2 linked regions of the Caenorhabditis elegans genome follow. The protein of the gene in region 1 interacts with the protein of each later gene in a pairwise test. Each region holds a gene or a part of one and is shown on either strand. Other genes may lie near its edges.

What was found. The genes of interacting proteins can lie anywhere in the genome.
Region 2: the proteins of dbt-1 (region 1) and Y44F5A.1 interact in a two-hybrid assay, tested with the Caenorhabditis elegans proteins (one large-scale study listed by BioGRID).

What each region holds. Positions count from the first base shown.
Region 1 is NC_003280.10:7,942,102-7,947,166, reverse strand, and holds dbt-1 (Lipoamide acyltransferase component of branched-chain alpha-keto acid dehydrogenase complex, mitochondrial), read left to right. Parts: upstream 1-1,960; 5' UTR 1,961-1,991; coding exon 1,992-2,064; intron 2,065-2,110; coding exon 2,111-2,186; intron 2,187-2,267; coding exon 2,268-2,378; intron 2,379-2,686; coding exon 2,687-2,769; intron 2,770-3,006; coding exon 3,007-3,228; intron 3,229-3,278; coding exon 3,279-3,343; intron 3,344-3,388; coding exon 3,389-3,673; intron 3,674-3,752; coding exon 3,753-3,944; intron 3,945-3,993; coding exon 3,994-4,095; intron 4,096-4,151; coding exon 4,152-4,289; 3' UTR 4,290-4,565; downstream 4,566-5,065. Other genes in the region: ZK669.5 (GTP-binding protein Rhes), read left to right, coding at 291-353, 653-835, 886-1,046, 1,094-1,189, 1,373-1,508; GILT-like protein ZK669.3, read right to left, coding at 4,602-4,724, 4,768-4,858. UniProt on the Caenorhabditis elegans protein: The branched-chain alpha-keto dehydrogenase complex catalyzes the overall conversion of alpha-keto acids to acyl-CoA and CO(2).
Region 2 is NC_003281.10:4,244,328-4,249,501, reverse strand, and holds Y44F5A.1 (WD repeat-containing protein 55), read left to right. Parts: upstream 1-1,830; coding exon 1,831-2,084; intron 2,085-2,542; coding exon 2,543-2,825; intron 2,826-3,524; coding exon 3,525-3,836; intron 3,837-4,152; coding exon 4,153-4,455; 3' UTR 4,456-4,644; downstream 4,645-5,174. Other genes in the region: depd-5 (DEP domain-containing protein), read left to right, coding at 682-832; zhit-2 (HIT-type domain-containing protein), read left to right, coding at 5,117-5,174.

The sequences.
Region 1 (5,065 bases):
TAGTGTAAATGAGAAAAGTGTCAATAGATCAGGAAGTTGTATATTACACATTTCCTATTTCACTCTCTTCTTCTTTTTCATATTTTCATACTACATTTCAAAGTGCTACCAAAAAAGAAAAAATGACTTCCGATTTGTATATTGAGTTTTCTCTATTTCTAACTTTATCCATATACTCTTTTTTTCCAATAATTTTTGTCTTTTTCTATGTTTTATCCTGCAATATGAATTATTGGTGATAACATCATCAGTCCAAATGAAAAATGGATGAGCTTATGTTTTTCAGAGGAATGGCTCCCGATCCAACTTCTTATGATCGAGTTTTCAAATTTCTTATTTTCGGAGGCAAATCGGTATTTTTTTAAATTAAAATCTTTAAAAATTTAAATTTAAATGTCTCTAGTTTTTAAATTTACTAAATTAGTTATGTACTCTCTATTAGAATTTTTCTGACAAAGGTTTCTAAAAAAATGTATCATATTTTGAGTAGTGGCAGTCAAAATATTTATTTTTATTCAAAAAGTATGAGTAGGGCTACTTAAAATTTCCCATTAAGCTCACAGAGTGGATAAAATTGAGTTTTGATGTTAAAAATTGTTCTTCAACGGCTGTAACTCTAAGAATCATTTAATGAAAAAAAAAATGTATTCAGGTTGGTAAAAAGACGTTGCTCCGATCATTTTGCACAGAAGGAGATAATGAAAGTATTTGGACTTCTCTTACTGTTGATGATGAGAAGGTTTTAATTGAAGCAACTGTTTCACAAAAATGGGAAGAAGGAATGTCAAAAGAGCACGATGCAATTGCTCTTGTTTTTTCTACAACTGATGTATATGTGAGTTATTTCGATTGAAGCTGGCAAATCAAATAAATAAATAATTTCAGAGTTTCGAATACACTTTAGAATTATACAATGAAATTCAAAAATCGACAGAGAGAATTCCCCTTGTGTTCATAGAAAATAAAATAGATATTGTGGAAGATAGTCAAATGGATAAAGGATTAGTTGAAGGAGAAATGAGGAAAAAACATAAGAGACTTTATAGGTTTGCAGATGATTTTTAATAAAAAAATTATAAAAAAATAATTTCAGAGTGTCAGCACTGAAAGAATTCAATGTTATGCATCCATTTGCCTACCTCATCGAGAAATTGACACGACAGAAGAAAGATTTAAACGCGAATGAGAGGTTTGACTCTATTACTTTTCAAATTATTTATTTAAACGTTCTTCTCTTAAATAGCTATATTTTCATTTGACAGTTTTCAGACCTTCTCCAATTATCCAATCTGTAATGAAAATTTCTAAAATTCTAAAATTCTGAATACTATATAAACTGAATAATTCCTTCAACATTTTTTCAGCGTTTCAGAAAACAGTCTTCGTCTGTAAATTCTACATCAACGTCACCACCATCTACTACAGTTGAAGCTTGGGTTGAACCGGTTCCCACGGCGACAACAACTTCGGCTCCCGCACTTAAAAAAGATAAATGCACACTGATGTAGTATTGTTTTTGAGTTTAGATATTTTGTTTTTTCTATTGAACTACGAAAAATCACAGTTTCTTGAGGTATTAATTTTTTGAAACAAATTGGGCGTTACGGTTTTGATCTCTTTTTATTTTCTCTTTTATGAAATCACGAAATAAACCTTTTGAATTTCTGAAAAAATATATATGCTTTTCCGAAATTCTGAATTAAATAAACAGTTTCATAAAATGCACCATGATGCACCATAACGTGATAGAGTGCGATTTCTTGGAATTCGAATTTGAAAAACCGCCAGTTTACACGAGAAATGCGCAAAGACACTTTGCGCCAGCATGCGTCCTTGACGCGTTGTTGTCATTTTATTCATTTTCTCACAGCTTCCACGGATTTTCCTTTTTTTTATTTTCCTTTTTATTTTCCTCAGTCATTTCTCATAAATTTTAATTTCGTAAACGCAAAAATTGTAGAAGAAGAAACTGGTAAGAATAACCGACGAAAATGATGGCCGCACGACTCCTGGGAACGTCGTCTAGAATTTTTAAATTAAATAAGCATCTTCACACATCTAAAGGTTGGTTTAAAAAATCTATTTTAATATAATATTTTCGAAGTTTCAGTCGCTTTTATGCCGGTTGTTCAATTCAAATTATCGGATATTGGAGAAGGAATTGCCGAAGTTCAGGTTAAGGAATGGTAAGTCATACTGTAGATGTAGTTTCGCATGAAAGCCAGTGAATTTTATAATTTTTCCACAAAACTGTTTTAAACTTCCAGGTACGTGAAAGAAGGAGATACGATTTCGCAGTTCGATAAAGTCTGTGAAGTGCAAAGTGATAAAGCAGCAGTAACCATCTCCTGTAGATACGACGGGATTGTCAAAAAATTGTAAGTTTCTTCCTAAATTCGAAAATTTCAGTTTCCCTGCTATCTGGTCGTTTCAATTCTTTTTAATATACATTGTAAAAAGTAACAAGGCACGTGGCGTCTCGGTTTGCACAGGTTACTCTGCGTCTCTTCTCTGTTCTTGATTGACAATCACAATATCACTGATCACCAGTGAAGCTGAGAGATAAAGCTTTTTGTGGAGATGACGGAGAAAATGCAATCAAAAAATCAAAAATTACTGAAAAGAAATTTTTTCCTGTTTTTCCTTGAAATGTCATTTTTATCTGAAAATGCAGAAAAGTTTACAGATATCATGAGGTTGATGGAATGGCTCGAGTTGGACAGGCTCTCATTGATGTTGAGATAGAGGGAAACGTGGAAGAACCCGAACGTATGTTTTTTATGCGTTCTAATGTTCTTATCGAAATTCCCTATCAGTTATAATCTCGCAATAGTTTTTCTTTGAAAATGCTATCAGCTATAATTGCCAATTTTATCTGTGATTCGAAATTTAATCTACTTCAAGAACTGAACAAAATGCATTTTACTTGATTTCCCAAGGGGAAGTCTGACTTCTCTGTTTCTAATTAAAATTGTGTTTTGTTTTCTACTAGTGTTTTTTTTTCAGAACCGAAGAAGGAAGCTGCTTCATCATCGCCAGAAGCTCCGAAGTCGTCAGCGCCAAAAGCTCCAGAATCTGCTCATTCAGAAGGAAAAGTTCTTGCCACACCAGCAGTTCGTAGAATTGCCATTGAAAACAAGATCAAGCTAGCTGAAGTTCGCGGAACTGGAAAAGACGGAAGAGTTCTCAAAGAAGACGTTCTCAAGTTCCTGGGACAAGTGCCGGCTGGTAATTTTTACGAAGAACTTTTTGAAACTTTTAATGTTATTTATTTATAGACCATACCTCTGGATCTACAAATATTCGTACTACCCATCAAGCTCCACAACCATCTTCGAAATCGGTAAATTTTTTTAAAGTGGTTTCAATTACAAATCAACTATTTTAGTATGAACCTCTCAAAGAAGATGTTGCTGTTCCGATTCGTGGATACACTCGAGCGATGGTCAAAACGATGACTGAAGCTCTCAAAATTCCACACTTTGGGTACAACGATGAGATTAATGTAGATTCTCTGGTCAAATATCGTGCTGAACTGAAAGAATTCGCGAAAGAGCGTCATATCAAATTGAGCTACATGCCATTCTTCATCAAAGCTGCTTCTTTAGCTCTTCTCGAATACCCATCTTTGAATTCTACAACTGATGAGAAAATGGAAAATGTTATACATAAGGTATACTGATGAAATTCACACGTTTACTTTTAAAAAATAATTAATCTTCGAATTTGTCTATTTTGAAAAATAATTTCAGGCTTCTCACAATATTTGTCTCGCCATGGACACACCAGGAGGGCTTGTTGTACCGAATATCAAAAACTGTGAGCAAAGAAGTATCTTTGAAATTGCTCAAGAGCTCAATCGTCTTCTGGAGGCTGGAAAGAAACAGCAAATTAAGAGAGAAGATTTGATTGATGGAACTTTCTCATTGAGCAATATTGGAAATGTAAGTTTTCTTTTTTCAATTACTTAATATTAGTAAAAAAAAATTAAAGATCGGTGGAACCTACGCCTCTCCAGTTGTCTTCCCACCACAAGTGGCTATTGGAGCAATTGGAAAAATCGAAAAACTCCCACGATTCGATAAACATGACAATGTAAGAAAATATTTTTCAAAATTTGTGAGACGTGTTGATAACAAATATTTATTTAGGTCATCCCTGTGAACATCATGAAAGTTTCGTGGTGCGCAGATCACCGAGTTGTGGACGGAGCTACAATGGCTCGCTTCAGCAATCGCTGGAAGTTCTACCTCGAACACCCATCTGCAATGCTCGCCCAACTTAAGTAAAGTATCATGTTTCATCTGGTTAATTTTATTAGGTGCCCAATTATCCCTTGATGTAGACATTCCCCCGTTTTCAACACTCTAAACCTGTTTTTTTTCTTGAAGGTGCCTCCTGTTTTTAGAGCATATTTTAGATAACGATTGCATTTTTCAATCCATTTCTTACTCGATTATTAGCCTGCTTTTTTTTTCTTTTTTCTTGTGCCATTTACTTGTTTGATGTAGGATGCAGATATCAAATAATCATGTTCGTGTAGAATGAAAAGATTCCCGTGATAATTGGAAAACATCTTTATTTACAAGCACTTTCAATGTCTAGTATACGATTTTCTTTGGACAATGAATTGGTCGAGGATCGATGAATCGATCACAAAGGAATTGCCACAAATCTTCCTCGGCTTCTTTGTATCGAGTTCCATTGATTAAAATCCATGGAGCCTGAATTTCAATTATTACAAATTACAATACATTTTAAAGATACCCAATCCATCTCTGGTGCCATTTGAGCAACAATATTTTCTTGATCGCTGAATAGTTTTCGGCCATGACGACTTTCGGCACATTCCATCATTCTGAAAAAATCAAATGAACTTAATAGAGGAAACATATTACGAGAAAACTGAATTCTGAGAACGCGTATTGTGCAACATATTTGACGCGCAAAATATCTCGTAGCGAAAACCACAGTAACTACAGTAATTCTTTAAATGGCTACTGTAGCGCTTGTGCCGATTTACGGGCTCGATTTTCGGAATGAATTAAGGTCAATTATTTATTTA
Region 2 (5,174 bases), on another chromosome or scaffold:
AGTTAAATTATTCTAAGCCAGGAATTTTCTTTGTTGTTCAGAGAAAATCGAAAATTTATCAGAAACTGCTTTTTTTTTTGAAAAACGAAAAAACGAGAAATTGACTGAAAAAAATGCAGAATGTAGAGATTATTTTTTAAATTTCAACTTTTCCAAAAAGTAAAAAAAATTCGATTTTCAGAAAACAAAACAAACGAAATTTTTTTTAAGTCGTTATAAACGAAAATTTTAAAATCAATTTTTTTGATTTTACTACGTTTTGAAAAATTTTGAAAATTCACAGAAAAAGTCAAATTTTCATTATTTTTGGATATTCATTTTAATTGAAATTACAATAAAGTCACATAAAATGCGCTTTCGATTTTGAAAAAAATCTAAACACGAAAAAAAATAAAACGGAAAAAACCGAAATATTTTTCGCAGTCAAAAAATTCCAAAATAAAAAGCCTTTCGCTTTCGGAAAAAAATGTTTTTAAAAAACTGACGCACTCGGTTTTCAATTTTCAAAAAAAAGAACGACTCGGATATTAGGTATTTATAGAAAATATTTGGACAAAAATTCTACAGAAAATGGATAAGTTACCAATAAAATGAAAATTTCCTATTTTTACGATTAGTCGAATTTCGCAAATTATAAAAACTATTTTTAAAAAATTTCCCCAATAATTTTTAAATTTTCAGTCAATGTTCTGAGAAGTTCCAAGATTATCTCTTATCGGAATTCCGAGCAGTGTGCTCCGACAAAAACGACACACTAACTCAACTTTATTCGGATTTCAAGAAAGAAAAACTACAAAAACCACGACCGGCGACTCCTCCGAAATTTGATTAATTAGATTTCAAGCAATTCACCCTTTTTTCTCAATATGGCTTTTATTCTCCCTTTCTTTTTCATTCCAAAAAAAACTTTTCATATTATGTTTTCCATTCATTTTTAATGAATCATCCTAATTCAGATTTTAGCCAATTTCAGTTTTACTAACCCCAAAAATTTTTCTTCAGTTTTTTTAAATTTATTTTTATACTTTTTCTTAGTGTATTAATTTATTTTTATCTCTTATTACTCTCATTCTATGTTTTTTTGTTGCTTTAAACATTTTCTAAGCAACCTTATTTCCCCCCACACACCGGTCAGGACCGCCACCGCTAGATTTTGAATTTTAGTTGATTTTTTTCTTTGATTGTATTATATGTTTTTCTCTTGTTATTCTATGTCTTATTTTTTTCCGTATTTTCGGGTGTTCTCATCATCGTCGCCCGTCGTATTTCATTCAGTATTTTATGTTTTCATCGGTTTTTATACAATTTCAAACGGATTTTTCACCCTTATGAAAAGATTATTCATGTTTTTATTGCTTTTTTCATTTTTTGGCTTATATTCTTGGCGTTTTTCATTGAAAATCGTATTTATATATTTTAAAGTTAAAAAAAAACAGAAAATGTTGTGTTTTCACAAAAACGAAAAAAAATCTAAAAACCAAGAAAATAGCTTTCCTGATTTTTCCATTTTTCAACAAAAATTCAAAAAATATTTGTGAATTTTGTCGGTTTTTTCAGGCGAAATTTCTTGGTTTTCTTGTTCAATTTTTCTCTGTTGTACAATTCGAAGCATTTTTCTCAATTTTTTAGACATTTTTCTTTTAAAAAATTAGAAAAGTGTTAAATTATCGATTTTTCTGTTTTTTTTTATTCAAAAACAATTATGCTATCGGAATTTTTTTTTGGGATAAAATTGAAGAAAAAATTCATTTCAATTTTATATATTTTTAAACAGTTTTTAAAAATATATTCGTATAAATTCATGTATTCCAAAAATAGAAATAACTTCAGATGCTCGTCGAATTTGATAATCCACCACTTTGTATGAAATCTAACAAAGATGGAAGTCGCCTTGTCGTTGGATTTGTGGATGGAAGTATTCGATTCTATGACACCCAACAACACGAGGAAGAGTTTCAAGAAATCTGGAAATTTCAGACAAAAAGCAGTATTCGAGGAGTTGATCTTGATGAACACAAGAAACGAGTTTATGCCGTTACAAAGAATCGATCTCTCTGTGTTTTTGATATTGACACGGGAAAACGGTAATTATTTGAAAATTAGTTAAATTTTTGAAAAAACGCAAAAAATTTCCATGTTTAGCATAATTTTTTATTGATATTCTCGATTCAAAAAAATCTCAGTAACATTGTTTTTTACTGGAAAAAAAATTTCGATCAAATTTTCGGAAATTCCAATAATAATTTTAAAAAATCGGACAAAAAATTCGAGAAAATAAAATACAATTTTTCTGAGATCGAAAATGTTTTCTATTTTAAAATTATTTTTTACAGCTGAAATCGAAATAGGATTTTTTGTCGAAAAAAATTATCGGGAAATACTAGAAAATTATGATTTTTTTTTGATTTTTCGATATCTTTGAAAATATCAAATCCGATTTTCTGAAAAATCATAATTTAAAAAAATGTTTTTTAGCAAAAATGCATTTTTTTTAGTCGAAAACCGACAATCCTTCTGATTTAAAAAACTCTATTTTTTTCAGTGTTCGTTGTATTCTAAAATGTCATCGTTCTGTACCAACTGCCATTTGTACACTTCCACCAACTGCTCTAAAATCTCAACAATTGGCTACAGCTGATGAATCGGGAGAAGTGAAAACATGGAATTTGGATCCAGAAGTTGCATCGGAAAATGCGAATATTAGAAAATGGCAGGAACAAGATGAAGATATTAATGATTTGAAAGTTGATGTGAAATCAAATTTATTGGCAACTTCTTCAGATGGTACACTTGGAGCTTACGATCTTAGAAAGGCAAAGCTTAAGGTAAAAAATTGAGTATTTTAATCTTTTTCTCAAAAAAAGCGCTTTAAAATATATATTTCGGTGAGAAGATATGAAAACTTCGTTTAAAATAGAAATTATAGGAATTTATGGATTGGATTATTCCAAAAAATCAAGAAACATTTTAGATTTTTCGATTTTCAAAAAAAAAAAGATTTCCAAAATTTTTAATGACTTTTTTTCAATTTTGAAAAAAATTCAAGGATCAGGTTTTTTTGGAATTCCGGCGCAAATTTCTAGTTTTGATATTTCTTCATTTTCCGAATAAATTTATTGAGAAATTTGCCGTAAATTATGAACATTAAAACATTTTTATAGCTTTATTTTTAGGAAAAAAATATAAAAAAAGTCTAGCGAGAAAATGTCGAAAAATTGTATCGCGAAATTGAAAAAAAAATCACTAAAACATTTTTTTTTAATCTCTAAAAATTTTAACAGATGTAGTCACATCGAAAATTTCTCGATTTTTTTTGTTGAAAAAATATATACTTCAAAAACGAAAACTGTCGATTTTTCGAAAAATCTGAATTTCAGGAAAATATGAACATTTTGAATTTTTTTCGTTTTTTTTTTCAATTTTCGTCCCTTTTTCAATAGTTTAAAGTGAGATCATCAAATTGTCCACCGTAAACTACAGTAACCTCAATGCAACCTTCCTTCTAATTTTCATTAATTTTGCAGATGAGAAGTGAACTAATGCACTCGGAGCTCTATTCAGTTTGTGGAACAAATCGATCGGTATATGTTGGAGGAGAAGATGGATATGTTGAAGTATTTAATTTAAATGAATATGGAAATTTGTTGGAAAGAGTTGAAAGTGGTTTTGAAATGGGTGTAAATGGAATTGTTGAATTGAGAAGTGGTTTATTGGGATTAACAAGTCAAGGAAGTAATCGAATGAGATTATTGAATGTTCAACCATCGAAAAGATTAGGATATGCTGGATATCATGGTGATGAGAAGAGTGATGATGATGGTATTGATGCTATTACGGTAAGGGAATTGCTTTTAAAAAATTCTATGTATTTTGGAGAAATTGAGCAAATTTGAAATAACCGAATTTCTTTCCAAAAAAAAAAACAAATTACAGTAAATTATTAAAATTTAACAATTTTTTATTCGGAATTTTCACATTTTCGGTTTTATACAATGGAAATGGACAAATTTTCATTAAAATTTTTTTTTGAAAATTTATTTTTCAAGAATTTTTAAAAATTCAGTGTTTTGAAAGAATAAAACTACAAGTTCTACAAATAACATTAAAATTTCGTACCTCAAAAAACATCCAATTATATTCCATTTTTTTCAGATTTCAACTGACAAATCAACAGTTTTTACAATGATCTCAATGAGCTGTACAATCAAAAAATGGGATATGGGACCAATTATCGATGAGATTCCGATTCTTAGAGCTCAGGATGCAAAATCGAAGAAAATGAGAAAAACTGAAGGATTTTTCGATGGATTAGTTGGACCGAAAAACGATTCAGATAGTGATGATGATGATGAGCCAAAGAGCAAAAAACGAAGAAATGATGAAGATTCGGATGAAGAAATTGATGAGGAGGAACAAGAAGAGGATGATGAAGAGGAGGAGGAGGACAGTGATTAGATGATTTTTTTTTAAATTTATATTTAATTTTGTTGTTGCTTTTTGAATTTTTGTTGAACTTTTCTTGTTACCTTCAATTTTACGTTAAAAACTCTCAAAAATACCCTTCGGGGACCACTTTTTGGTTGTTTTGGCGATTTTTAAGACATTTTTGTTTTGTTGTTGTTAATATAAAATTATGTTAATTTTACTCAAGGTTTTAAAATTTAAGTTTTCCATTTTGGTTGAAAATCCAAATTTCTTATCTGTTTAGTTTTCATTGGAAAACTTTTAAAAATTATTTTATTTTCCATTTGTACGATTTCAAATGAGGGTGTGCTGAGTGGTCTCGCAGATATAATTTTGAAAAATTTGTGTATGTATGTGTGTACCTTTAAGGTTACTGTAGTGACACCAAATTTTCATAATTAATTCGGCGCGCGTGTCGAGATCATTCCGTAGAAATGAACCCTTCTTTGAACTCGTCACTTATATTTTTCAAAATCGAAAAACACCAGAGGTTTTGGTTTTTCGGGCCAGAAAATTTCAGAATAAGAACTTTTATTTTCGGGTTTTTGAAAAAAAAATGGATGATGCATTTTGGTAAGAGATCCTGGTAGAAGACCATTTATTCTCTTTATAAAATTTTTTTTTTCATAAAATAAAATCTAATTTAATTCAGATGTCAACTTCATCATTTCTCGCTTGCGGAATCTGCGGCGTCGAAAAACGAGAACCAT